Arabidopsis thaliana: one gene and its partner. The protein of the gene in region 1 interacts with the protein of each later gene in a biochemical or structural test. Each region holds a gene or a part of one and is shown in the gene's direction. Other genes may lie near its edges.

Evidence for each region.
Region 2: the proteins of EDE1 (region 1) and GRF5 form a complex in vitro, tested with the Arabidopsis thaliana proteins (one study listed by BioGRID).

The regions. Positions count from the first base shown.
Region 1 is NC_003071.7:18,265,979-18,278,302, forward strand, and holds EDE1 (ENDOSPERM DEFECTIVE protein (DUF566)), read left to right. Parts: upstream 1-6,140; 5' UTR 6,141-6,367; coding exon 6,368-7,276; intron 7,277-7,433; coding exon 7,434-7,553; intron 7,554-7,671; coding exon 7,672-7,788; intron 7,789-7,880; coding exon 7,881-7,970; intron 7,971-8,076; coding exon 8,077-8,184; intron 8,185-8,273; coding exon 8,274-8,354; 3' UTR 8,355-8,701; downstream 8,702-12,324. Other genes in the region: AT2G44175 (Acyl-CoA N-acyltransferases (NAT) superfamily protein), read left to right, coding at 2,810-3,148, 3,228-3,236; MAP2A (methionine aminopeptidase 2A), read right to left, coding at 3,464-3,574, 3,665-3,882, 3,977-4,120, 4,210-4,306, 4,503-4,597, 4,687-4,778, 4,862-5,107, 5,175-5,282 and 2 more; AT2G44195 (pre-mRNA splicing factor domain-containing protein), read left to right, coding at 8,828-8,985, 9,252-9,561; AT2G44198 (uncharacterized protein), read right to left, coding at 10,088-10,186; AT2G44200 (pre-mRNA splicing factor domain-containing protein), read left to right, coding at 10,324-10,511, 10,851-11,157, 11,276-12,262.
Region 2 is NC_003076.8:5,237,646-5,249,597, reverse strand, and holds GRF5 (general regulatory factor 5), read left to right. Parts: upstream 1-3,759; 5' UTR 3,760-3,846; intron 3,847-3,855; exon of another isoform or gene 3,856-4,041; intron 4,042-4,172; 5' UTR 4,173-4,195; coding exon 4,196-4,678; intron 4,679-4,765; coding exon 4,766-4,888; intron 4,889-5,275; coding exon 5,276-5,392; intron 5,393-5,506; coding exon 5,507-5,590; 3' UTR 5,591-6,043; downstream 6,044-11,952. Other genes in the region: AT5G16070 (TCP-1/cpn60 chaperonin family protein), read left to right, coding at 66-172, 268-382, 462-545, 833-1,037, 1,135-1,229, 1,396-1,464, 1,559-1,666, 1,762-1,880 and 1 more; AT5G16060 (Cytochrome c oxidase biogenesis protein Cmc1-like protein), read right to left, coding at 2,389-2,470, 2,892-3,039, 3,380-3,437; AT5G16040 (Regulator of chromosome condensation (RCC1) family protein), read left to right, coding at 6,290-6,318, 6,409-6,553, 6,913-7,023, 7,119-7,179, 7,277-7,392, 7,495-7,580, 7,671-7,872, 7,987-8,040 and 3 more; AT5G16030 (mental retardation GTPase activating protein), read right to left, coding at 9,020-9,286, 10,305-10,513, 10,601-10,915, 11,013-11,057, 11,149-11,356. UniProt on the Arabidopsis thaliana protein: Is associated with a DNA binding complex that binds to the G box, a well-characterized cis-acting DNA regulatory element found in plant genes.

The DNA.
Region 1 (12,324 bases):
AAACTGGCTAAGGTAGTTCCTGAGCAACGCTGTAACAGCAGGGACATCACGTCGCTCCATTTCCCTAAATCCAGGAGTGATCGGTGCATCTGGTAACTTGTAGAGTTTGACGGTCCTGCTCATTGTCATTCTGTCACGAAGCCTTGTTAACCCAACATCGATTAGCTTCTTCGGGTTCAACATTCTGACCCAGTCTCGACTGGTGGTAACTGGTCTAGAAAGTATATGACTTGAGGTATAAGCCGCTTGCCATATATTCTGCAACTTAACCCTTCTAGTCAACTCCTTGATCATGAGAGGAGCAAGTCCCTTAGACCTGAGCTTCTTGTGAACACACAAGGAATTGACCTTCGCCATTTTAACAACCTCATCACGCACCCTGATTCTTGTTGGCCTGCCACAGATGAAAGCAATGAGTTTCTTGGAGGTCTTGACGCGGACTCCAATATGCCAGCTCTGGTAATAACCAGGTGGACACAGTGCCCACCTTAGATACTCTTTGGAGTACTCATACTTGATCTGTTGTCATCAGGACTGTTTTCCTTGAGAAAGTTGTACATCTCTAAACACATATCGTCAGAGTTCATATCGCATATGGTCCATTCGAATTGACCAAGAAGGTTGTACGGCTCTTGCTTGACCTCAGACACCAAAGTTGCGGGCTCAATTGGGCCTTCAGGCAAACTCGTGTCCTGGATATCTTTAAACTGCTCAACAGGTTGAGTCTCCCAGAACTTATGGGTCTTTGAATACTGGCACTGCAGTAACCTTCCAACTATGGTTCCACCTGAAGTATCATCCTTGGCTAATTGAATTTGTGAGCTCTTGGCAACAGTAACTAGTGCATCCTCCACTGGCTTCAGTTTTGGATCTGACATTGTTGATCGTCTGCACAAAAAAATTGATTGCTCAATCATGAATACACAGCAAGCAACAGCCATGAAACAAAACTGAAAACGAATAAGAAAGCCGAGCTAGCTTACAGTATGAAGCATTATCAAGATTTTTAACCCTAGACATAGCGATCCCAAAATTTCTAGCAACAACACACAAATACTTTCCGATTTTGTAGCAAAATCGCTATGAAGAATCCGATACAAGGTCATGAATCGAAACAAAAACCCAAGAAAACTGAGCGACACTATAGTATCAACAATGGCGAAGTACTAACCAAAAGCTTCGGGTTGAAGTGCGACAGCAAGAATCGGAAGAAGATCGCCGGAAAATAGTTGAGCTACGATCGGAAAAAACGAATCGGGACAAAAATCGCAAACAAAGTTTCGCCAAGTCAATACAAAGCCATTAATCGAAACAAATACCAAGAAAACTAAGCGATAGTATCAACAATCACGAATTACTTACCAAAAGCTCCGGGTTGAAGAATCGGAAGAAGATCGCCGGAAAATAGCTGAGCTACGATCGGAGAAAAGTGAGAGAAAACATAAATTCGAAATTTCTGGAGACACAGAGACGAATCCAGACCCTGAGATTTCTTCAAAAGTTACCGTCAGATTGAGGCGAATCCACGTGTCATCATCTGCTTTTCAGATATTTGGCGCCATAATATTCAGTTCGTACAATCGGAGACGTCATCGTCGCAATCTGTTAAAACAAATCTGACGGACCGTTATAATTGACGGACGAAAACAAACTGCAAGTGGCCCAACACAACTTTCATATTTACATTACTAAGCCCCTTCCCTCACGTTCACAAATATATACCTTATTGGGCCTATTATTTAAGGCCCAACAGCATTAATCATGCAATCTGATTTACATAATCAATAAAACCTCTATAAATTAATACTCAAAAAATTAATAATAAATTAATAGATTTTTTCGGTCCGAATTGTGACTACTATTAAAATTGATACAAATCGATAAATTAATAAGATAATATTTTTTTTGAAAACTTTATATAAATATATGGTTCCATCAATAGTACTTCATCTATTTTTTTTGTTTGATATTTTAGGAAAAACACAAATATTAAGAAAAATATATTAAATTTTGCTTTTAAATTTATTGTTCGTTGTGATTTACAATTTTCAATAACTTTAAACCAATAATATTCAATAATTTGTATTGAAGTTTACAATTTATCAATTATAACTAATAACTATTGCATTGAAAACCTAAAAAATCAATTTTTTTGAAACAATTTTTTTTCTTCTAAAAAATCAAACAAAAAGGAACAGAGGGAGTATACATTAATAATTATATATATTTACCAATATATATTATAAATATCTTATATAAAAATATGACTCTAGTTATGTTTTTCTTCAATTTTTATTAATTCTTTGTAGTATTCAATTCTAATATTTTACAACATGGAAAAAAATTATATTGTTTTTTAAACTTAATAACTAATTTCTACTTGTAATTGGTTTCAGAAATACTATTGATTTTAAAGAACAAACTAAATTTTATATCGAATTTTTGTATACAAAATTTGTACAATTTTATTAGTTTATCAATAAATTAATATCTCTCTAAATTAATAAATTTCTTGGTCCTAATATTATTAATTTATAGAGGTTTTGTTGTGGCCGACATGAATTCTTCGACGCAGAAGAAGCCCAAATGATTTATTAGCAACAAAAACAATATAATGGACCCAGTATGGAGCTAAAGTTATATTGTTCATATGTGACATTGTGTTGGGGGTTTTAGCACCTTGATACAACGAGGAATATGTTGCTTCACTCATCAGTTTTTGGAGTTATTTAAAGATGACGAAAAAGAGAGGATAGTAGACAAACAAAAACAATGGACGTCATCCATTATGCCTCTTTGTTTCTTGGGGATGAAGCCGTCTGATGTCAATGCCTATGATAGAGCTGAGGACGGCGAAAGCTCAAAAATCCAGTCTCAAAAAGAGAAAACAGATCAAATCGTCAAAGCAAAGGCCCATAAGGATGTCGGAAACACTAGTTTGCCTGAAAGTCCAGTTGAGCCGGCAAATCCGTTATCTGAGATCAAGCAAGAACCAGAAAAACTTCCTTGTGGTTATGAATGGATCACATGCGACTTGAACACTGATGATATGTGTTCAGAGGTGTGCAAATTTCTCAAGGAACAATATCTTGTTGACGGACAAAAGTTCAAGGATGCTCTTCAACAACTTGCGCTAGATGATACATTCGTTTGGTTTTATTATTATTTTGCTTCTTCTCTATATGAACTACTTTTCCCATGCGATTTTTTTACTTTTGAATTATTAGGAAGTGTGATTTTGTTACTTGTGTTGTGTCATATATAAAAAAATCAAAATTCTATAACAGAATAAAAAATAAGCTAACATGTAGCTATAATTGATGAAGGATCCCCTAAGCTCTTATACTTAGAATCATCTTCGAAGAACATACAAATATTTGAGCACAAGACTTAAAAAGCCTTCCAAAACTATTATACAAACTCAAGAAGAACAACTGCTTCAAGTTCTGTGAAAATCACTATTTCAATAATCGTCTCCTTTGGAAATAATCTCTTTGCAAGTTGGTCGCAACAGGATTGTATGCTCAAACTGAGAAATATAGCTTCCTTTGACATCACACACTGGAGGACATGGCTACAAAAGTTAACCCAAAGAAACTTACTTTCATCAAAATGTTCTTGAACATAAGTCATCAGAGTATATATATAGTTTTAAGGAGTTTACCTCAATTATGCCAGAATCACAAAGATTCTTTAAAGCCATCAAGTATTTTGTTTCACCAAGGCGGTCCAAATAACGTCTGCAGAAGGCTAGCGTGGAGAAGTTCTTGTTAATAGTGGCAAGGAGTTGTTTTGCCCTTGGTAACCTCAAAGGTACATGACCCACATCATAGTTTTTCATGTAATGGCTACATTCTAAGTCTTCTCTTACATATCCTTTCCCTGCAAAATGACACAAGTGAAAAACCAATTTTACTCTGAATTCGTAAAAATCCACATTTCTTGTATAGTTTCATGTGAGAAATGTTGTTGTTACCTGTTGATCCAAAAGTTTCAATGGCATATAATTCACCCTCTTCCATTTTCGTCTGCTCGCCTCCTCTAACATTAGGAACTGATTTTTCAGCGTGTATCTGATAGCGTCCAATGCTGTGCCCATTCAGGTTTCTGATACTTTTGACTGCCCCCAAAAGACACAACATTGTTTTAGTTTTCTAATAATCCAAATAGAAACCACCAAAAAATGCTGCCACAAACGTAATCAATTACCTTGGTAGACTTTTCCATTGATTTCAACCTCATAAGACTCCATGACCTCCTGAACTGCAGCACCAACATCACAGAGCCGGACATCTACCCCGGCTTCCTAAACCAACAAAATTAATAACACAATGGACTTATTCAGTTGGATTGAACGATAAAGATCCAAAAAAGAAGCTCAATATGGTTATAAGAAAACAATGCAAACTTCAAAGAAGAAGTCACTACAGAATGAATGGCTGCATTCACCATATCCAAGAACAGAAGAATCCCACAAGTAGCAACAGAAACAGAATGAGCACCTTGATACCAGTATATGTTGCGTCACGCGAGGCTGCTAAAAGAGGATCAAACATAGGATTGAACGCAACTGTAAAAGCAGAATCAACAATGTGCCCTGCCAAAACAACATAATAATTGTTCTTATGAGACATCTACGTTGAGAAAATACAACAAACAGATGATAAGTTTTTGTTTTTACCATACCATCAATATGTGTTCCAAAATCCAGCTTCATCACATCATCATACTGAAGGACAGTCTTATCTCCAGAGTTTGGTGTCCAATGAGCAGCAACACTGAAGGTTCAAGTAAATTTGAGACGCATTGATAGAGCCAAAGATCAAAGAAATGCAGAAAGAATGAAAAAGGTTGAACTAACTTATTCAGTGAACATCCTGTAGGAAAGGCGATACCAGCTTGAAGACCATTCTCTGATATCAACTTACGAACAGTGTTCTCTAAAGTCTCACAGAGATCAATCATCAACATTCCAGGCTTCAATATACTTCTCATATACTTCCTAACTTGACGATGAACTTCCGCTGCTTGGCGAAGAGAGTTATATATCGGCTTTTGCAGCCTCTCCATCTCTCTCTTCTCTTCAGATGTTGTTCTCCACAAATTACTACATCACAACATAGACTTAGCTAGCAAAACAAAATGTCCTTATAGAAAATCTAGTCTAGACTTACTCATCATTGTACTGTTGGATTTCACCTTGAGGAAAATCTCCAGAAGGGAAGAGCTCAAGAACAGGAATTGAAGGAGGATCAGTCTGTTGAAGAGAACTCTTCTTCTTCCTAAAAACAATCATCAGATTTTTGAGCAAGATCATCAAAGCAAACACTGAAGATTAACAGAAAAAAGAAACAACTTCTCACTTGCTTTTACTTTTCTTCTTCTTCTTCTTCGTTGAAGCCTCAGCTAAAATGAAAAGACTAAAAGTCTCAACAACAATAAAGCTAGAGAAACTCTAAACCAACTTCACATACACTAGTTCCTAGAAAGTTACAATCTCTGATGACATAACCAGATTGATTAATCTAAACTAGTAATAAACAAGAACACACGAAAGAGACCAAAGTTCCATCTTTTTCCCGTCATAATTACATACTTCAACTACAAGATCTATCAAAAACACGAAATGATTTACCTTTCAGTCCATCTTCTTCTTCTTGGTTATTATCCTTTTCGTCTTCCTTCACTTCAGCCAGATCAAGACTCTTCGTTAAGTCAGAACTTAACTGAGACTCGTTTCCATTAGAGGACTCGGCTTCAGTGTTCTCCTTCCCCATAGTTGCTACTTCTGGGTTTCCTATCGCCATCTCAAATTATTTTAACAAGGAGGCTTAATGAGAAGAAGTGCAGAAGAAAGTTCATCAGAAGAAGTCAAAGTCTCCTCTTTTCACCTCTTTTTCACTCCCAACTTTTTTCTTCAGTCTATCCAGGAAAATGTCGGAAGGTTAAAACAATTGCAAAATGATCCAACAAAACTTTCATTTATACATTTATAACCCATTACTTTAAAGAACACAAACGCTCCTTATTGGGCCCAATATTAATAGGCCCACCAACATTAATCCTGCTTATCTTTTTTTTCAAAACATTAATCTTGCTTATCTTATCTGATTAATTTAATTTAATCGAGAAAGCAAGACAAAAAAAAAACCTATCGTTTCACGGACAAGAAGAGAACCGTTGCGCTTTGTGAAGCATTTACTCAACGGCTAGTTTCCTTCTTCTTCCCCTTTTCTCTTCCTCTTCGCCTAGGGTTTCGAAAATTTCAATCCGATTTGAATAATTTCTGTTTTCTTATCGGAACAAAAAAATCTCCGGCATCTGGAATCTCCGGTGATTTTGTCAATTTCGAAGAAATTTGATTGAAATGGAGGCGAGAATCGGCCGATCCATGGAACACCCATCTACACCTGCGATTAATGCTCCGGCGCCGGTTCCTCCTCCTTCTACGAGGCGGCCGAGAGTAAGAGAAGTGAGCTCGAGATTCATGTCTCCCATTTCTTCTTCGTCATCGTCGTCTTCCTCTTCTTCCGCCGGAGATCTCCATCAATTGACTTCAAATTCTCCTAGACATCATCACCAACATCAGAATCAGAGATCGACTTCGGCTCAGAGGATGAGACGGCAATTGAAAATGCAAGAGGGAGACGAGAATCGTCCTTCCGAGACGGCGCGTAGCTTAGACTCGCCTTTTCCTCTTCAACAAGTCGACGGAGGTAAAAACCCTAAGCAGCATATTCGATCTAAGCCGTTGAAAGAGAACGGTCACCGTCTCGACACACCAACGACGGCTATGTTGCCGCCACCGTCTAGATCGCGGCTGAACCAACAGCGTTTACTCACTGCCTCCGCTGCGACTAGGCTTCTCCGATCAAGCGGGATCTCGTTATCATCTTCTACAGACGGTGAAGAAGATAACAACAATAGAGAGATTTTCAAATCCAACGGCCCAGATCTGTTGCCAACAATTAGAACCCAAGCAAAGGCCTTTAACACTCCCACCGCCTCACCACTTTCTCGATCCCTGAGTTCCGATGATGCGTCGATGTTTCGAGATGTTAGAGCTTCATTGTCGCTTAAAAATGGTGTTGGTTTGTCATTGCCTCCGGTGGCTCCTAATTCGAAGATTCAAGCCGATACAAAGAAGCAGAAGAAAGCTTTAGGACAACAAGCGGATGTGCATTCTCTGAAACTGCTCCATAACCGTTACTTGCAATGGCGATTTGCAAATGCAAATGCTGAGGTCAAAACACAATCTCAGAAAGCACAAGCTGAGGTCAGTTTCTATAGCTCTGAGAATCAGAAATTTGATAGCTTTTACATATAGATCAATGTTTGACACATAACTTCAGTATTAGTGATGAATGTTGTTTAGGTTAGATTCTGTTTGATGATGGTGATCTTATGGATGCTGTAAATTGTTTTTCTTGCAGAGAATGTTTTATTCACTTGGTTTGAAAATGTCGGAGTTGTCTGATTCTGTACAGAGGAAACGCATAGAACTCCAACATTTACAGAGAGTTAAAGCTGTTACGGAGATTGTAGAGTCACAAGTAAGTAAAGATCTTAAATATCGTAGATTTCACACTATTTTTACATTTATGAACGTTTAGAGCAATTGTGTAGTTTCCTTGTAAAAATTGGTGTTAAACTACTTTTAACTCTATGCAGACTCCTTCTTTGGAGCAATGGGCTGTTCTTGAAGATGAATTCTCAACTTCACTATTGGAAACAACTGAAGCTTTGTTGAATGCTTCATTGCGGTTGCCTCTCGATTCAAAAATCAAGGTATATGTTGTGTTGGTCGAATCAACTAGGAAAAATTCTGCTCCTTTATACCTTTTGTACTAAAACATTTAGATTTTGCTTCTCAAAACCAGGTTGAGACTAAAGAGTTAGCAGAAGCACTTGTTGTCGCTTCAAAATCTATGGAAGGCATTGTGCAAAACATTGGAAATCTTGTGCCTAAGGTTAGCAAAATACAGTCAATGTGCTTCACATTAAACATGAACAAAAACAAAGTTCCTACACACGCCTATGTTGAAACTGAAACATCTTCCTTGGTTCCTTTTGCAGACACAAGAGATGGAGACTTTGATGTCGGAATTAGCTAGAGTAAGCGGCATAGAGAAAGCATCAGTAGAAGATTGCAGAGTTGCACTGCTTAAGACACATTCATCACAGGTATTAAAACTTGTACTGTTTGGGGGACATAACCATTTGTTTCTTTTCAGTTTCTGAAATCCTAAAGTGTTTTTTCTTCTATTCTGCAGATGGAAGAATGCTATCTTAGAAGTCAGCTTATTCAACACCAGAAGAAGTGCCATCAGCAAGAGTGCACAACTTCTGTTTGATGATTTTTTAAGGTTACTTTACCACACAGTAAAAACAGCCAGCCATACATGGCATACTCGCTAGTGCAGCAACACTGAAGCTCTTCGGTTTGGCATAATCTATCTTCTTACATACCTCAAATAACAAAAGAATTTGTAAATACTATCAGTTGTCTTGTAATATCTGAGTCTATTCAATGATCCATTAGCTTTTGTCTGAGCATTGTATTACCGTATCTTTTAGTAAGAGAACAAAGAAGACTCCTTTTCAAGTGTTGGATGTTGAATTCATCGACCACTTCACTGGGTTAAACCAAAGTAAACCGGGACTCTACCGCGAGATATCCAAAACAGGCCCGTTAATGGCCATTATTAAGCCCAGATGTCCATTAAGGCGGCGCTGAGATTATAAGAAGGTGAAACTTTCTTATTATAAAAACCCTTGACGAGTTTTTGAACGAAGAGGAGGAAAGCAGAAACTCTAAGAAGAAAGAATGGCGTTGAAGTTTCTGAACAAGAAGGGGTGGCATACGGGAAGTATCCGCAACGTTGAGAAAGTATGGAAAGCTGAACAGAAGCACGAAGCCGAGCAGGAAAAGATTGAGGAGCGTTCTGAATTTCGCGCTATCCAAGAACAGGCCGGTCTTGTTCCGTAAGTTTTCTAATTCTATACCTATAGCCCTCTCCTAAATTAGATTTTGATTGGTACATATATTTGAAATTAGGGTTAGCAACAGAGTTTGATGATTGGAAGTATATTCTAATGGCGGCGTTAGTTAATTAGTTTTAAAACCTTTGAAGTGAATCATGAATGATGATTGCAATTGAGCTAATGATCAAAACTCGAATATTTTATCGAAATAGCGTCTGTGGTAAGATGAGTGGTTTTAACCTTAGTTTTGTTGTTTCTTCTTGTAGGAGGAGGCCAGAGAGATTGGAGTTCTTGTATGATCCAGAACTAGCAGTAGCGAAACAGAATGTTAGTAGTTCAAGACATGGTGTTTTGTTTCAGAATCAAGATCAGCGAGCGAGAGCTACGATTCCTGGTGCGTTGTTTGATGATGATGATAAGAGACACTCTGCCAATGATTCTTGGCGCAAATTCCACTCCGACCCTTTGCTTCTCATCAGGCAGAAAGAGCAGGAAATCTGGAAGTTCCTTTCTTTATTTCTTTACTCCATTCATGTGTCCTGCTTGTGTTTCTTCTGTAAACGGTTACGGTTTTAGATTGTATTGGATTTCGTTTCTGCTGCTAACCTGTTGTGGATTGTGTTTCTTCTTTAACAGTTGAAAAGAAAAGCGAGAGGATAGAGATGGAGTGTTGAACGAGGACAAGATACAACATCGGCGTAGATTGTTTAAATACATCGCAAGTTATCTTCTTCAGGTGTTTTTTTTTTGAGTAGGATTAGGAATCTTCTTCAGGAGTTGAATGTATAGAAAACACAGTTTTTTTTCTTTTTAATACAAAGACAATCTTTAATTGCTCTCTACTTCATAAAGTTGTGATGATTTTTAGGTGGTATACAAGCATTACTCTCTGGTGAAACACACAAGCTTTTTGGTTTAAAATAATAATTGAATTTGTCAATTGTCTACAACGTCTCGAAAATCAATAAATCTTTGCCATTGTTTGATCCGGAAGAAACGAATGTCTTTGACTTCTGAGTATTTGGGAGTTTCACAGACAAATTTCAACAAGCAGTCAGAATTTCATTGGACTTAAAGCCAATCTAAACCGGATCCAATTAGCTTAGATTTGCGGTTTAGCACAACCATTGACAACAAGCCCATGAGGCCCAAATATAACATCTAAATCACACGTTTTAAACACGGACGGCTCTGATTCCATCTCACATTATTTCGCTTATACGACGGCGACGGAGCAAAATAATTTAGAACCCTCGACGAGTTTTCGATTGAACGAAACAAAAAAGAAGGTAACCAGATTTTGAAGCGAGAGGAGGAGAAACAAAAAGAAGAGCAATCATGGGGATGAAATTTCTGAACAAGAAGGGTTGGCATACGGGGAGTCTCCGTAACATCGAGACTGTATGGAAGGCTGAGCAGAAACAAGAGGCTGAGCAGAAAAAGCTTGAAGAGCTTCGTCTCCAGATCTTGCAGGAGAGGGAGCGTTCTGAGTTTCGTGCTCTCCAGGAACAAGCCGGTCTCATCCCGTAAGTTCCTCTGTTTTCCTTACCCACGATCCCAATTGATTTGGGTGATAACGAATTTGGGAATTAGGGTTAGCGGTTTGAGTTTTTAGCGTAGAATATATAACATGCATCTGCTGGTAGTTAGTTGGTTTTATTAATGATTGGCGATGGAATCGGTGATTTGAAGTTGTGGGTCGTTCTAAAGTAGTAAAGTTGTATACTTTTATGATTTGGAGTCATTAGAATCTATAAGATGCATCTGCTGGTAGTTTGATTAGTTTTTAATGATTGATGATGGATTCGGTGATTGGAAGTTGTGGGTCGTTCTAAAGTCTTATACTTTTTGTTATCTTATTGTAGGAGACAAGAGAGATTAGAGTTTCTGTATGATTCTGGATTAGCTGTAGGGAAGGGAAGTGCGAGTGGTTCAGGTGTTTCGTTTCAGAAAGAAGAGCAGCCTTTAGCCAAATCTGAAGCTGGTAGTAGTGCCAGTGAGAAGCCAGATCAGTCAGCTCCTGGTGCGCTGTTTGAGGAGAAGGCACAATCTGCTAATGATTCGTGGAGGAAACTTCACTCTGATCCTTTGCTTCTCATCAGGCAGCGTGAACAGGAAGCTCTTGCCAAAATCAAGAATAATCCTGTCAAAATGGCTCTTATTCGTAAATCGGTAAGTTCTTTTGTTCTTCTACATGGAGGGTTTGGGAATTGGGATTACATTGGATATATGTTATTGGCTTTCTTTTCCTTATACATTTACTGACCCTGTTGGAGAGTTTCTTTTACAGGTAGAAGAAAAAGGAAAGGGTAAAGATGGAGACACAAAGGAGCACAAGAAGAAGCATAAGCGTAAAAGTGGAAAGCATCAGAAGCAATCTTCATCCAGACAGCGGTCTGATTCGGAAGAAGATTCTGGTGAAGAGAATAACGGAAGAAAATCTCACCATCAGAAAACGTCAGGGACTCATGACAGACACTATGAAAGACCAAGGTCAGATTTAGAAGATGAGTCAAAAGGAAGAGAGAGTCGTGATAGGCACTATGAGAAACGAAGGTCAGAACTAGATGATGGGCACAAAAGAAGAGAGAGACATGATACGCACTATGAGAGACGAAGGTCAGAAATGGATGATGAGTCAAAAAGAAGAGAAAGTAGGGATAATCACTATGAGAGACGAAGGTCAGATTTGGATGATGAGTCCAAAAGAAGAGAAAGTCATGATAAGCACTTTGAGAGACAAAGGTCAGATTTGGATGATGAGTACAAAAGAAGAGAAAGTCAAGATAAGAGACGAAGGTCAGATATTGATGATGAACCAAAAAGAAGAGATGCTCGACCGAATGAGAAATATCGAAATCGCTCCCCTAAAGGCGGTGTGGAAAGGGAAAATCTTAAGAGTTATGGTCAAGAGGATAAAAAGAGGAAAGCAGAGGATTTAGACAGTGGAAAACCGAATGAATACCAGAATAGACGCCGGAAAGGTGGCTCTAAGCTATCAGAAGAAGAAAGAGCTGCTAGATTGAAGCAAATGCAAATGGATGCAGAGGTGCACGAGGAGCAAAGATGGACAAGATTGAAGAAAGCCGATGAGACCGATGCAGTGGAAGCTGATAAGAACAAAGTATCCACGGGCAAGAGCTTTTTGGACGATGCTAATAAGAGTGTGTATGGAGTTGAGAAAGGCGGAAGCTCAACAATTGAAGAAAGCGTGCGTCGCAGAAGCTATTATTCACAACGTGGAACTGCAGCTGAAGGCAATGCGTTTCGACGCTGATGATGTAAAAATATTGTTACAACAAAACACAATGTATACTAAGGTTTGTGTCTTTTTTGATA
Region 2 (11,952 bases), on another chromosome or scaffold:
TATATGAAATACTTGCCGGTTTATAGTATGGACCTGTTGGAAACACTGACTTAATTCTGAATTAGGTTGAGGGGCTTGTTCTGGATCATGGTTCGAGACACCCTGACATGAAACGACGCGCAGAAAATTGCCACATCTTAACTTGCAATGTGTCACTAGAGTATGAGAAGAGGTGTGTAATATAATTCTTTGGTCAATTTGGCGAAGAGAAAGTAAAGGCCTGGATGTTTCTGGTGATGTGGACTAATATTTCTATTTATCTATCAGTGAAATCAATGCAGGATTTTTCTACTCTAATGCGGAGCAGAGGGAAGCCATGGTTACCGCAGAGAGGCGATCTGTTGATGAAAGAGTTAAGAAAATAATTGAGCTGAAGAAGAAGGTGGGACTGCGACCATTTCTCCAAGTTTTATTTTAAAACCCTGTAAAAAATACTAATACATGTTTTATTTCTTGTGCAGGTGTGTGGTGATAATGACAACTTTGTTGTCATAAATCAGAAGGGTATTGACCCACCATCATTGGATCTTCTTGCTAGAGAAGGGGTAAGCTACTTCTGTGTTTTCTTGCATTTAAACTTATGTTACAAATCGCTGAAATTGTGATATTTAGGAACAAGAAGAAAGATACTAGGGAAGAATGTGTTATTAAGTGAATTGAAATTGCCAGTAATATTAAAAGAGTAGTTCCTTCGATATACAATAATCCATGGAGACGATTGGCAGCATTAGTTTTTAGTTCTGGGACACTGACTGAGCTTGTCTATTCTTTTGTACCTAATTTCTCTTGTTTAGAAGCTGTTGAATCTAATTACCTTTCCTCATGTGTCCAGATTATTGGTCTTAGAAGAGCAAAGAGGAGGAACATGGAACGTTTAGTTTTGGCCTGTGGTGGAGAAGCTGTGAATTCTGTTGACGACTTGACCCCTGAGTCTCTTGGATGGGCTGGACTTGTCTATGAGCACGTTCTTGGGGAGGAAAAGTACACCTTTGTGGAGCAAGTGAAGAATCCTAATTCATGTACCATCCTCATAAAAGGTATTAGGACGACTTTTATGTCTTCATTAAGTTTTGATGGTTCATTTGTTCTTTTAGTAGTTTTAGTGTTCATTCATGAATTTCTTGGGTTTTGTAGGGCCTAATGATCACACTATTGCCCAAATTAAGGACGCTGTTCGTGATGGTCTGAGATCGGTCAAGAACACCATAGAAGACGAGTGTGTTGTGTTAGTAAGTACCTTATATATCTTGAAGTTTTTTTGTTAACATTGCTTTATGTTTCTCCGCAATATCAAAGAAATTGTTAATTCGTGATCAAAACCCTGGGTAAGGTTAGCATATAGACCTATTGTATATGTTTTGCGTTATGTTAATGTGTGGTTGCATGTTTCTGTAGGGAGCAGGAGCTTTTGAAGTTGCAGCAAGGCAACACTTACTCAATGAAGTCAAGAAAACCGTTCAAGGGGTAAGTTGATTTCTTCACTCGTACTCTAATTCTCGCAACATTACTTAATGCATCCCAATATTCTAAATTGCTAATACTATCATGAACATTGCAGCGTGCCCAACTTGGCGTTGAAGCTTTTGCTAATGCCCTTCTCGTGGTGCCTAAGACACTTGCAGAAAATGCAGGTCTTGATACCCAAGATGTGATCATTTCTCTTACGGTATGCATTCATCTCTCTTATCATCTTCTGCAAACTGAAATCAATTGTTGAAGGAACAAAGAATTAGAATTGCTCATTGTGATGCGCTTATGCAGAGCGAGCATGACAAAGGGAACGTTGTGGGACTGAACCTTCAGGACGGTGAACCTATTGACCCGCAGCTTGCTGGTATTTTTGATAATTACTCAGTGAAACGCCAACTTATCAATTCAGGGTAATGTTCGACCCAACTAGTCAATTCTAATAAAAGCTTTGGGTTTCGGTTGAAACCATTTCAATAACCGGCTATTTGTTTGTGTTGCAGGCCAGTGATTGCGTCGCAATTACTTTTGGTGGACGAAGTGATTCGTGCAGGCAGAAATATGAGGAAGCCTACTGCTTGAAGTCCTTTGCTTTTAACTTGGTTTCTAATTTGTAAGCACCTCAAATTTTGTTTCTTGGTGTAAATCCTGAATATTGTGAAACATATGTTTTTTTTTTCTTTTTGGCAATGAAAAACATATTTGAATCTGATCTTTAGATGTAGTGGATCTTTTGCAAAATGATAAAAAATAGTAATACAAAATCTATTTGAATCTGATCTCTAGATTTAGTGAATACACCCATATTTAAGAAAGGCCACAGTTTATTTATAAAAAAGGATATATTTTGGTTCGCAATGAACAAGAAACAAAGCGAGGACATTATATTGGTCGTACTCAAATCTTTTGTTCAACAAACATCTATATGGCCGAGGCTGAGACTTTACCCTCTTCTTGAACCATATACGCTCTCTTCATTTCCTCCAAGACATTGTCATTGGTGCTGCAGAATCAACAAAATAGTTTCATGGTTAGACAACATTTAAGCATCGGCCCAACAAGGGAGACGTTCATTAGGGAGTCACATAAAAAGAACTTGTGCACCAAGAACAAGACTGTGCTACACCGATATAGAAGATAGTTATTACTTCTCTTTTATCGCAGTATCAAAGAATCATCAATCATCCCCTTCTATAAGCTTATATTTGGTTACATATATATACTAGCACTGGTACGTCATGATAACGTTATGCATCTCCTAACCACAAGTTGTCTCATTTCATCATATCAGACTTACCAGTGAAGGGTATTAAGAAAGAATAATCAAAATCAGATGCCCCCATACACAACAAATCTTTATACGTAACAGTGAAAAAAAGATGACACCTCTAATGGAAGGAGCACTAAAAACTCGAAAAACTTACAATTGATGGAGGCAAGTGTTGAGCTCCCTAGCTTGCTTACGACATGTCCATACCACAGAAAAAGTTCTTCCTGTTGCGCATTGAGCATACTTGGAGACGTACTGATCACATTCCATTAATGCCTTTGCCTTCATCTTGCTACGCAGCGCTAATAACAAAGTATATACATAATCAATCAAACAACCATTTAACAAAAAAAAACCATCACCATTTCAACTTCAACACAATCTATAAGCTCAATTCATAGAAGCAATTTGACACACTCAATGAGAGCTTGCTAGATCAGATGCAAAATATGGAGTTACTACCAAGGGTTTATGAGAACCCTAATCCTCAATCTAGCAAAAGAATCTGCGTCTATGATAAGAAACCAGGCTTAAATAGTATCGATATGGTTGATCTCATTTTCGAGGCAATAAAAAAACCATTTGGGGGTTTAGGGTTTTAAAACATAGCGAGATGAAGAAGTCACGACATTGTCAAATTACCTTCTTCGACCTTCTTCTTCACGTGATTTTCACGAGCTTGCTCCACATAGCTACCCATTGACGACGGACCTTCGAGCTTTTCCGGCCTTCTCCGATCAATTCGATCAAAAGGGCAAAGGGGACTAGAAATGGGTTCAGGGCAAAGGGTAAATCCGTCATTTACCCCAAGGAAACTTAACTTATATTGCCATTTTGCCCCCTTAATATTTTTGTATTATATGAATGACCTTATTAACTTATGATTCGTCACATTTCACCCACTTCAATTTAAAATTATGGACGAGAATTAAGTCCTTTGACGGTCAACAGATTAGCACGTGTCGTATTTTAATTGGGTCGTTGCCCCTCTCTCTCTCTTTACTCTTTTCCCATTTAATGGTCACGAGACCGTCTCCCCCAAATTTCTCACTTCCCCTAATTTCGCTTCGAATTCAAAAGCCCTAATTCGAAAATTCCCATTTCTCAAGGTACGGTTCCGATCTTCCTTGCTCATACTTCGACAATGTTTTTTCTGCTTCTCGTTTTCTGCGTTTATTGTTGATATGTTGTTGATCTTCGCGTTTTGGTCATCACTTCAAGATCTGTAGGATTCAAAGTTCGTTCTATCGATTTTGGATAGATCTAGCAGTGTAAATCGTTTGTCAAAGTTTTTTATTCTTTGGGTGCGTGGATTAATTTTGTTAGAGATGATTGTTATCGTTGCTCTTGAATGCAAGATTGTTGCAGCATTACTGAGTTCTATTTCGTGCTCTTTGTTTATTGCTGCTGCTTGATATTTTCTTGTTGAAAACAGGTTTTTAAAAGAGTATTGCAAAGATGTCTTCTGATTCGTCCCGGGAAGAGAATGTGTACTTGGCCAAGTTAGCCGAGCAAGCTGAGCGTTACGAGGAAATGGTTGAGTTCATGGAGAAAGTTGCAAAGACCGTGGAGACCGAGGAACTTACTGTTGAAGAGAGGAATCTCTTGTCTGTTGCTTACAAGAACGTGATTGGTGCTAGGAGAGCTTCTTGGAGGATTATCTCTTCCATTGAGCAGAAGGAAGATAGCAGGGGCAACAGTGATCATGTTTCGATTATCAAGGATTACAGAGGCAAGATTGAAACTGAGCTCAGCAAGATTTGTGATGGCATTTTGAACCTTCTTGAGGCTCATCTCATTCCTGCTGCTTCTTTGGCTGAGTCCAAAGTTTTTTACCTGAAGATGAAGGGAGATTATCATCGGTACCTTGCTGAATTCAAGACTGGTGCTGAGAGGAAAGAAGCTGCTGAGAGCACTCTTGTTGCCTACAAGTCTGCTCAGGTTATCATCTTGTTTCTTCTTCTTAACCATATAGAGTGCTAAGATAACATGTTGTCTCATGCTATTGGTGTTTGTGTTTTTATGTAGGATATTGCTCTTGCTGATCTGGCTCCCACTCACCCAATCAGACTGGGGCTTGCTCTTAACTTCTCTGTTTTCTACTATGAGATTCTCAACTCATCTGATCGTGCGTGTAGTCTCGCAAAGCAGGTCTGTGTTACTTTTTCATTTATGCTATGCTTTCTGTCATTAACTAACAAACCTATATTCCAACTGTTTTGCTTGATTAAACTTAGCACATAAGAGGTTCTTTTTTTCTATCTATCGTTCATAATGTGGCAAAAACGTGTTACGTAGTTAACTTGTTACACTTCCATGTGGGTAGACTTTCCATATGTTCTAGTAATGGTTTGTAGATTGCTTACCATAGCCTGACCGATAGGGTTGTAGTTAATTTTGATGATGGGCAGAATTGGGAAACTAGATCCTGTGAATGGTTCCATACACTAGTGAAATTTGGACAACCTTCACATTCGGATTCTAGTTTGATTCAAGTACCTTTTGTTTAGTTACTAATATGATTTTTCATGGTGGTAGGCTTTTGATGAGGCAATCTCGGAGCTAGACACATTGGGAGAGGAATCATACAAGGACAGTACATTGATCATGCAGCTTCTCCGTGACAATCTCACCCTCTGGACTTCTGACCTCAATGTACTTGTCTCTCTTTACACTCATCATTGTTAGCAATATCTTAGTGATTGCATCATGCAGTTAAGATTCTTGTTGGTTTTCGCATAACATTTGTGTCTAATATCTAATCTCCAGGACGAAGCTGGTGATGATATCAAGGAAGCCCCGAAAGAGGTGCAGAAAGTTGATGAACAAGCCCAACCACCACCTTCGCAGTGATAAAATCAGATCCATGGAATGATTTGCAGACAAAAAAATATATGGCTTGGTTCTGTGTTTTTAAACAGAAAAAAACCTTGTAGTTTCCTTAAACATGGGCTGTAGTTTCCTTAAACATGGATTTGTAGTAGTAATTGTAGCTGCATGATTTGGTTATCGATGGTTAAAACTCTTTGTGTGCTTCTCACATGTTTTGGTTGTTGTCGTTGTTGCCGGTTTCACTATTAGACTGCATTGCATTACATGGTCCGGTCTAAAAGTTGAAAACTTGCTTCCTTCTCTGATTGGGGTTTAGTTGTCTTTTAGATTATGCTTCTCTAGGTGGAATGTTCCCCAAATGGAATTGGTTAAGACTCAAGAGAGTTGTTCAATGAAACGAAATAGAAATGGAATTTCACAACTTTAAACGAAAGATAAAGCCTCTTTCGGTTTGGAACAACTGTTAGGTAACACATATAATGGAATTACAAATCATAAATCCTCCATGACCATAAGCTAAAAAGTTGGATTAATTAATAAATGACATGGGAATGGGAGGTAACATTAACTGGTCCAAAATAAATAATTAATGTAATGACACATTCACATAATAATATCTCGAATTGAAATCCCACCGAGAGTGCCCTGCTTTTCCACTGAGTTTCTTCATATATATCTCTTTCTCTCTCATTTGTAATTGTATCTCTCACTTTTGTTTCAATGGCTTCAGCTACTTCCGTCATAGCCTGGTCATTTCTCTTTCTATTCTACCTCTTTGTTTTTCTCCATTACTGTTTCTGACTTGTGCTATTGCTCCTTCGTTTGATTTTTTGGCACAGGGGTTCTGGAGAAGATGGGCAACTAGGACTTGGAACCGATGAAGAAAAGGAATTGGCTTCCGTCGTCGACGCTCTTGAGCCTTTCAACGTTCGCTCCGTCGTCGGTGGTAGCCGCAATTCCCTCGCCATTTGCGATGATGGCAAGGTTACTTATCCAATTTCCTTTATGTGTCCTTGTTGTGTCTTCTTTGGTTGGTTTCGCTTAGAACTAACTAAAGTACAATGCTTTGCTTTGATTTTGCGATTTGATTCTAAGCCATGTCTTTAAGATTTTCTTAGTTCGCTTTACATAGGGTTTTTGAGATCTGTAGGACCAATTAAAAAGGGTTTAAAGCTCGTATTTTTTTTCTTGTCCTGAAGTCCAACTAAAATGCAACCAATATGTTTGTCTGAGGTTACTCTCGAATAGATCATCAGACTCTGGTTCTTGTCTCCATGGTGTAGTTTATGATTGATGTGTCACCAACATATAGAAATAATATGGTCTCTTAAATGGTTTCTCAGCTGTTTACATGGGGTTGGAATCAAAGGGGTACATTAGGACACCCACCTGAGACAAAAACAGAAAGCACCCCAAGTCTAGTTAAGTCTCTTGCCAACGTCAAGATTGTTCAGGTAAAACTTCTTACAATTATTTAAGTATTTTTGGCTCTAATGCTGTTTCCTCGTTGTGATTTACTCTGAATTGCCGTTTCTGTAATTGATCATAGGCAGCTATTGGTGGCTGGCATTGTTTAGCTGTCGATGATCAAGGCCGAGCATATGCTTGGGGTATGCATTTTCTCTCTCAGCTTCTTTCTAATGATTGTGACCTCAATGATCTTAATGATCTTAAGTTGTTCACCTTTTTGTTATATAATCTACTTAGGTGGAAATGAATATGGACAGTGTGGTGAAGAGCCTTCCAAGGATGAGACAGGTAGGCCTGTGCGGAGGGATATTGTAATACCTAAGCGTTGTGCCCAGCAACTTACAGTCCGACAGGTTACTTATGCTGCTAACCTCTCTTCATTTACCTCAATTTTTAGTTCTCTTTTTTTCCTGTCTAAACCATCTGTTCTCGGGTTTGTATGATTAAAATAACAGGTAGCTGCAGGGGGTACTCACTCTGTGGTTCTAACCCGTGAAGGTTATGTATGGACTTGGGGTCAACCGTGGCCTCCCGGTGACATGTATTATCCAAATTTCCTTTCGTTTATGGATACGACATTTGCATTTTCTTGTCTTCTGTTGGTTTATATGGTGTTTCCTGTGTATCGCAGAAAACAAATTTCTGTTCCTGTAAGAGTTCAGGGTCTTGAAAACGTTCGTCTGATTGCTGTGGGAGCATTTCATAACTTGGCTCTGAAAGAAGATGGGACTTTGTGGGCTTGGGGTAATAATGAATATGGACAACTTGGAACTGGAGACACACAACCGAGATCGTATCCTATTCCTGTCCAAGGCCTTGACGATCTCACTTTGGTATGTAGTCTAAGACTTCTGGTTTAAGCACTCATTATTATAACTGATGCCTTCAGATATGTGAACTATAAAGGCCTATGTTAAAGTTTAATTCCTCCTCTGAATTCATGTTAGGTTGATATCGCTGCGGGTGGATGGCATTCAACAGCTTTAACCAATGAAGGAGAGGTATTAGAAGTCATACATTCTCTTACTAATCTAGGGTCTCACTTTTTATTCCATCTGGCTCTTGATCGAGTCATTACTGGGTTGTTTCTGAGCTTGATGTAGATCTTTACTCTAAAAATGTTGTAACTTGGCTATGTCCAATATTAGGTTTATGGTTGGGGAAGAGGAGAGCATGGAAGGCTCGGGTTTGGTGACAATGATAAGAGCAGTAAAATGCTTCCGCAGAAAGTTAATCTCTTAGCTGGAGAAGACATCATTCAGGTAAAAAGTACAAACCACCAGTTCTTGACTCTTCTCATAGCTTTGAAAGCTCTTATTGTTTTTTTTCCTCTCAGGTCTCTTGTGGCGGAACTCATTCAGTCGCTTTGACAAGAGACGGTAGGATCTTCTCGGTAAGTCCTCTTAGAGAGTATAAAACATTGTTGGTTAGAAACCCAAAGTCAATCTATAAACCTCTCCTTTATATTGATTCCTGTGATCAGTTTGGTCGGGGAGACCACGGTAGACTCGGGTATGGAAGAAAAGTAACTACGGGACAACCATTGGAGCTTCCTATACACATTCCACCACCAGAAGGACGGTTCAACCACACCGATGAAGAAGACGATGGAAAATGGATAGCTAAACATGTAGCTTGTGGTGGCCGACACACTCTAGCAATTGTGGAATGGAAGTATGATCAGGAGGAAACAGAATAACCATGAAGAAGATAGAGCGAGCAAAAAAACAAAAACACAAGAGGGACTCTAGAGATAAGCATTTGTTATAGAGAAAAGGGGAGCAAAAGCATATGGTTAAGCTTTTGACACTCCCATGAATGATGAATCTATATGAAAGAGGAAGAACTAAATATAATATCATCATGATTTTGTTTTTGATAATATAAAATAGATTGAAAAAGAGAAACAAATAAGAGGAACCTTTGAAAGGATGGTTTAAACCTTTAAACCTTTATTGATTCTCTCGGTTTAAAGGTTTTTCAACAACCTTTGACAAGATGAGGAACACAAATAGGGAAGATATACTTTGATTTTCTTGCTTGTCTTTGTCTTGATCTCACCCATGAGAAACATCCAGGTCCTCTCTTCTTCTTCTTGGTCTTCTCTTCTTCTTCTTGTTCGTCTTCTTCTTCTTTATCATCTTCTTCACTCATATCTTGCTTCTCTTCTTCTTCTTCTTCTTCATCTTCTTCGTTGCTCATATCTTGCTTCTCTTCTTCTTTTTCTTTCTCTTCCAACTTCACATCCTTCAAAGCTCAAATAAATCTTCATTAACATGTAATATCTTGAGAAGAACAAGGCTTAGATATATAATATAGATAAGACTTATTTTCCTTACAAGTGTTTTTGGCCTTTTGGCAAATTATCTACAGTTTCATGTCCAAAAACAGCAATTGATAATAGTTATACAAACGTAAATCATCTCTTTTCTTTCTCAAAGGTAAAACCACATGTAAAGTTGGGGACTGGTGAGACTTGATGAAACAAACTTCTAAGGTCTCTAATCGAGTTTGAATAGAATGAGATTGCTATCAGTGCCTTATCAAGTTACAAAAACTTACTCCTAAATAACATGTTACTCATAATCATAAGAGTGACTATAACTGTATATTTAGATAAATGTACAGAGAAAATACAGAATATGGATGGTAGTCACGTGAGTTGGAGACAAAATCATGAAATGGGGCCTAATGAGATATATTTTCAAGAAATACGGTTTTGTGTTTCTATGATTAATACTCTCATATATAGTCATAGACGGTCATGTGTACTATGTTTCATATATCATGAAAGAATCTTAAATCTTAAAATGAATCATGTAACATATCTACAAAAACAATAATAGAAGAGTTTTATCATTGTCTCTTTCCATGAAAACATTTGGTACTATCATTTCTTTGATGCTTTTCTTATCTTGCGAAAGAGTATCTAATTATTGATGCATATGCACGAACAATTCAAAATTTTATGCAATTATTATTTTTTTCCGTACCTTTTCAATTGCATGGACCTCACGCTAGCGACTAAATATTTCTCACTTTTTTATTAAAAGTTTTCATTTTTTTCTCTCTAAATTATAATTTTACCAAATTAATAGATTTTTTTTTTTGATTTGATACTGTTTTTCCTTAATATTTTAGGCTACGGTAAATATTACTGGATTTTGTTAGAGTAATCCTTGGTTAAGAAGTTTAAATCAAACTCAAATAAACATAAATGAAATAAATTCTTTTTGAATTACTGTTATATTGATATTATATATACCTGTTGTTGACCTTTCACTTTGAGATTGATATCCACTGGCCAATCATCAGCTTCCACGTGTCGTTTTAACGACCTTTCCATAATCGGAGGCGTTTTTGCCGGACTAGGGCTACCGGAGCTAAGATCCACCGACGTCGTACTCTGTATGCCCACATCTCGCTTCATCCCCACAACTTTCTTTTCCGCTAAAAACACCCCCCCATAATTTACTTTTGATCAGCAAAACCCAATCAAGAACAAACTTCAAGAAACCTAAAAAAAAATCTAAAAGATGGGACAGAGTTAAAGTCAATCACCTAGAGCAAGAAGTTCAGGATCAGGAGCATAAAGATCCTCGTGAATGACTCTAACGTTAGGATTATTATTTGGTTTGTTTTGAGCAATATTATTCATCAATGGATTGGGACTAGGGAAGTGAAGAGGAGCAGACATGGTTGATAAGTTTCTGAAGGATCTTGCACTTAATGTTTTAGCAGACAAACACTCCATTGGTACTTCTCCAGACAATGGATTGCAGATATATTTCTCTGCTTCGTTCCACTTCGAATTCAATGCAAACCCTTCTTGTGCTAACCATTCCCTGTTATTGTACATTGTCTTTGCTTGTAATGCTGCTACAAACAAAAGAAACAAGACAAAACACATTTGGAACATTACTCTCTTGTTCTGTCCTTTCGAACGTTCAATAGGAGAAAAGCAAAAACTTACCTTTGAGTGCATTGGTGAAGGAATATGTTGATGGGTCAATCTCTTCTGTGGTAAAAAGATTTGAAAATTCAAAAAATATTCAGAAGAAGTAATTCTCATAAACTTATTGGGACAAAGAGAGAGGTATTTATAAAACCTTTGAGAGTGTAGCCAGGAGAAGAGGCAGTACTAGAGATGTTGTTGAAGTTTGTTGTTCTAAAAGAAGACTTGTGGTGATCTTCTCGGAAGCTTCCAATGTATGAAGCTGAGAATCTTCTTGAACTCGGGTTTTCGCGGATTAATCGAGCTCTTCGATCCCATTCTCTTAAGTTCATAAACTCATGCTCATCTCCTCGCAAAGCCATGGAAACGAGATGTTTCTTCTTCTTTAATTTTTTGAAAAAGCAAAAACTTTTGAGCCAAGGAGGGAGAATGAAGAAATCAGGCAGTACCTATAAAAAGATGTTTTTTACTTTATGAAAAAACGAATTATTTTTGTACCTTATCTTTTTCAAAAGTTTTTATTGGTTACTCATATTTAAATTCTTTTGTTTTTTCTTGAAAGATTCAAAATATATATATTTTTAAAAAAACTAGAATATATAGAGGTTGTTAATCAAATTGACTGCTTGCCCTGTATTTTTAAAAAAATACAGTATAGCAGTTTTGTTTTTTCTTGGGTGTAATCCATTTATAGGAATCAAACTCACTTGGCATTTTCTGATATTTTGTAGTAGTTTTTAAAAATATGGTCCTTCTTTGTTCTCAAAGGTTTTGAGTTCAATTTCTTTTTTAAAACATATATTAAACTGCTTTTAACAAGTTGGTCCAGTCGATATTAGCTTAATTGAACAATTTATATTGCATTAATTTCTTATTGAGAGACACCAAATGCAAAAAACAAATGAACGAATTGTCAAACATTGGTCATTTGGACGGAATTACTGTTGTTGAAAATTAT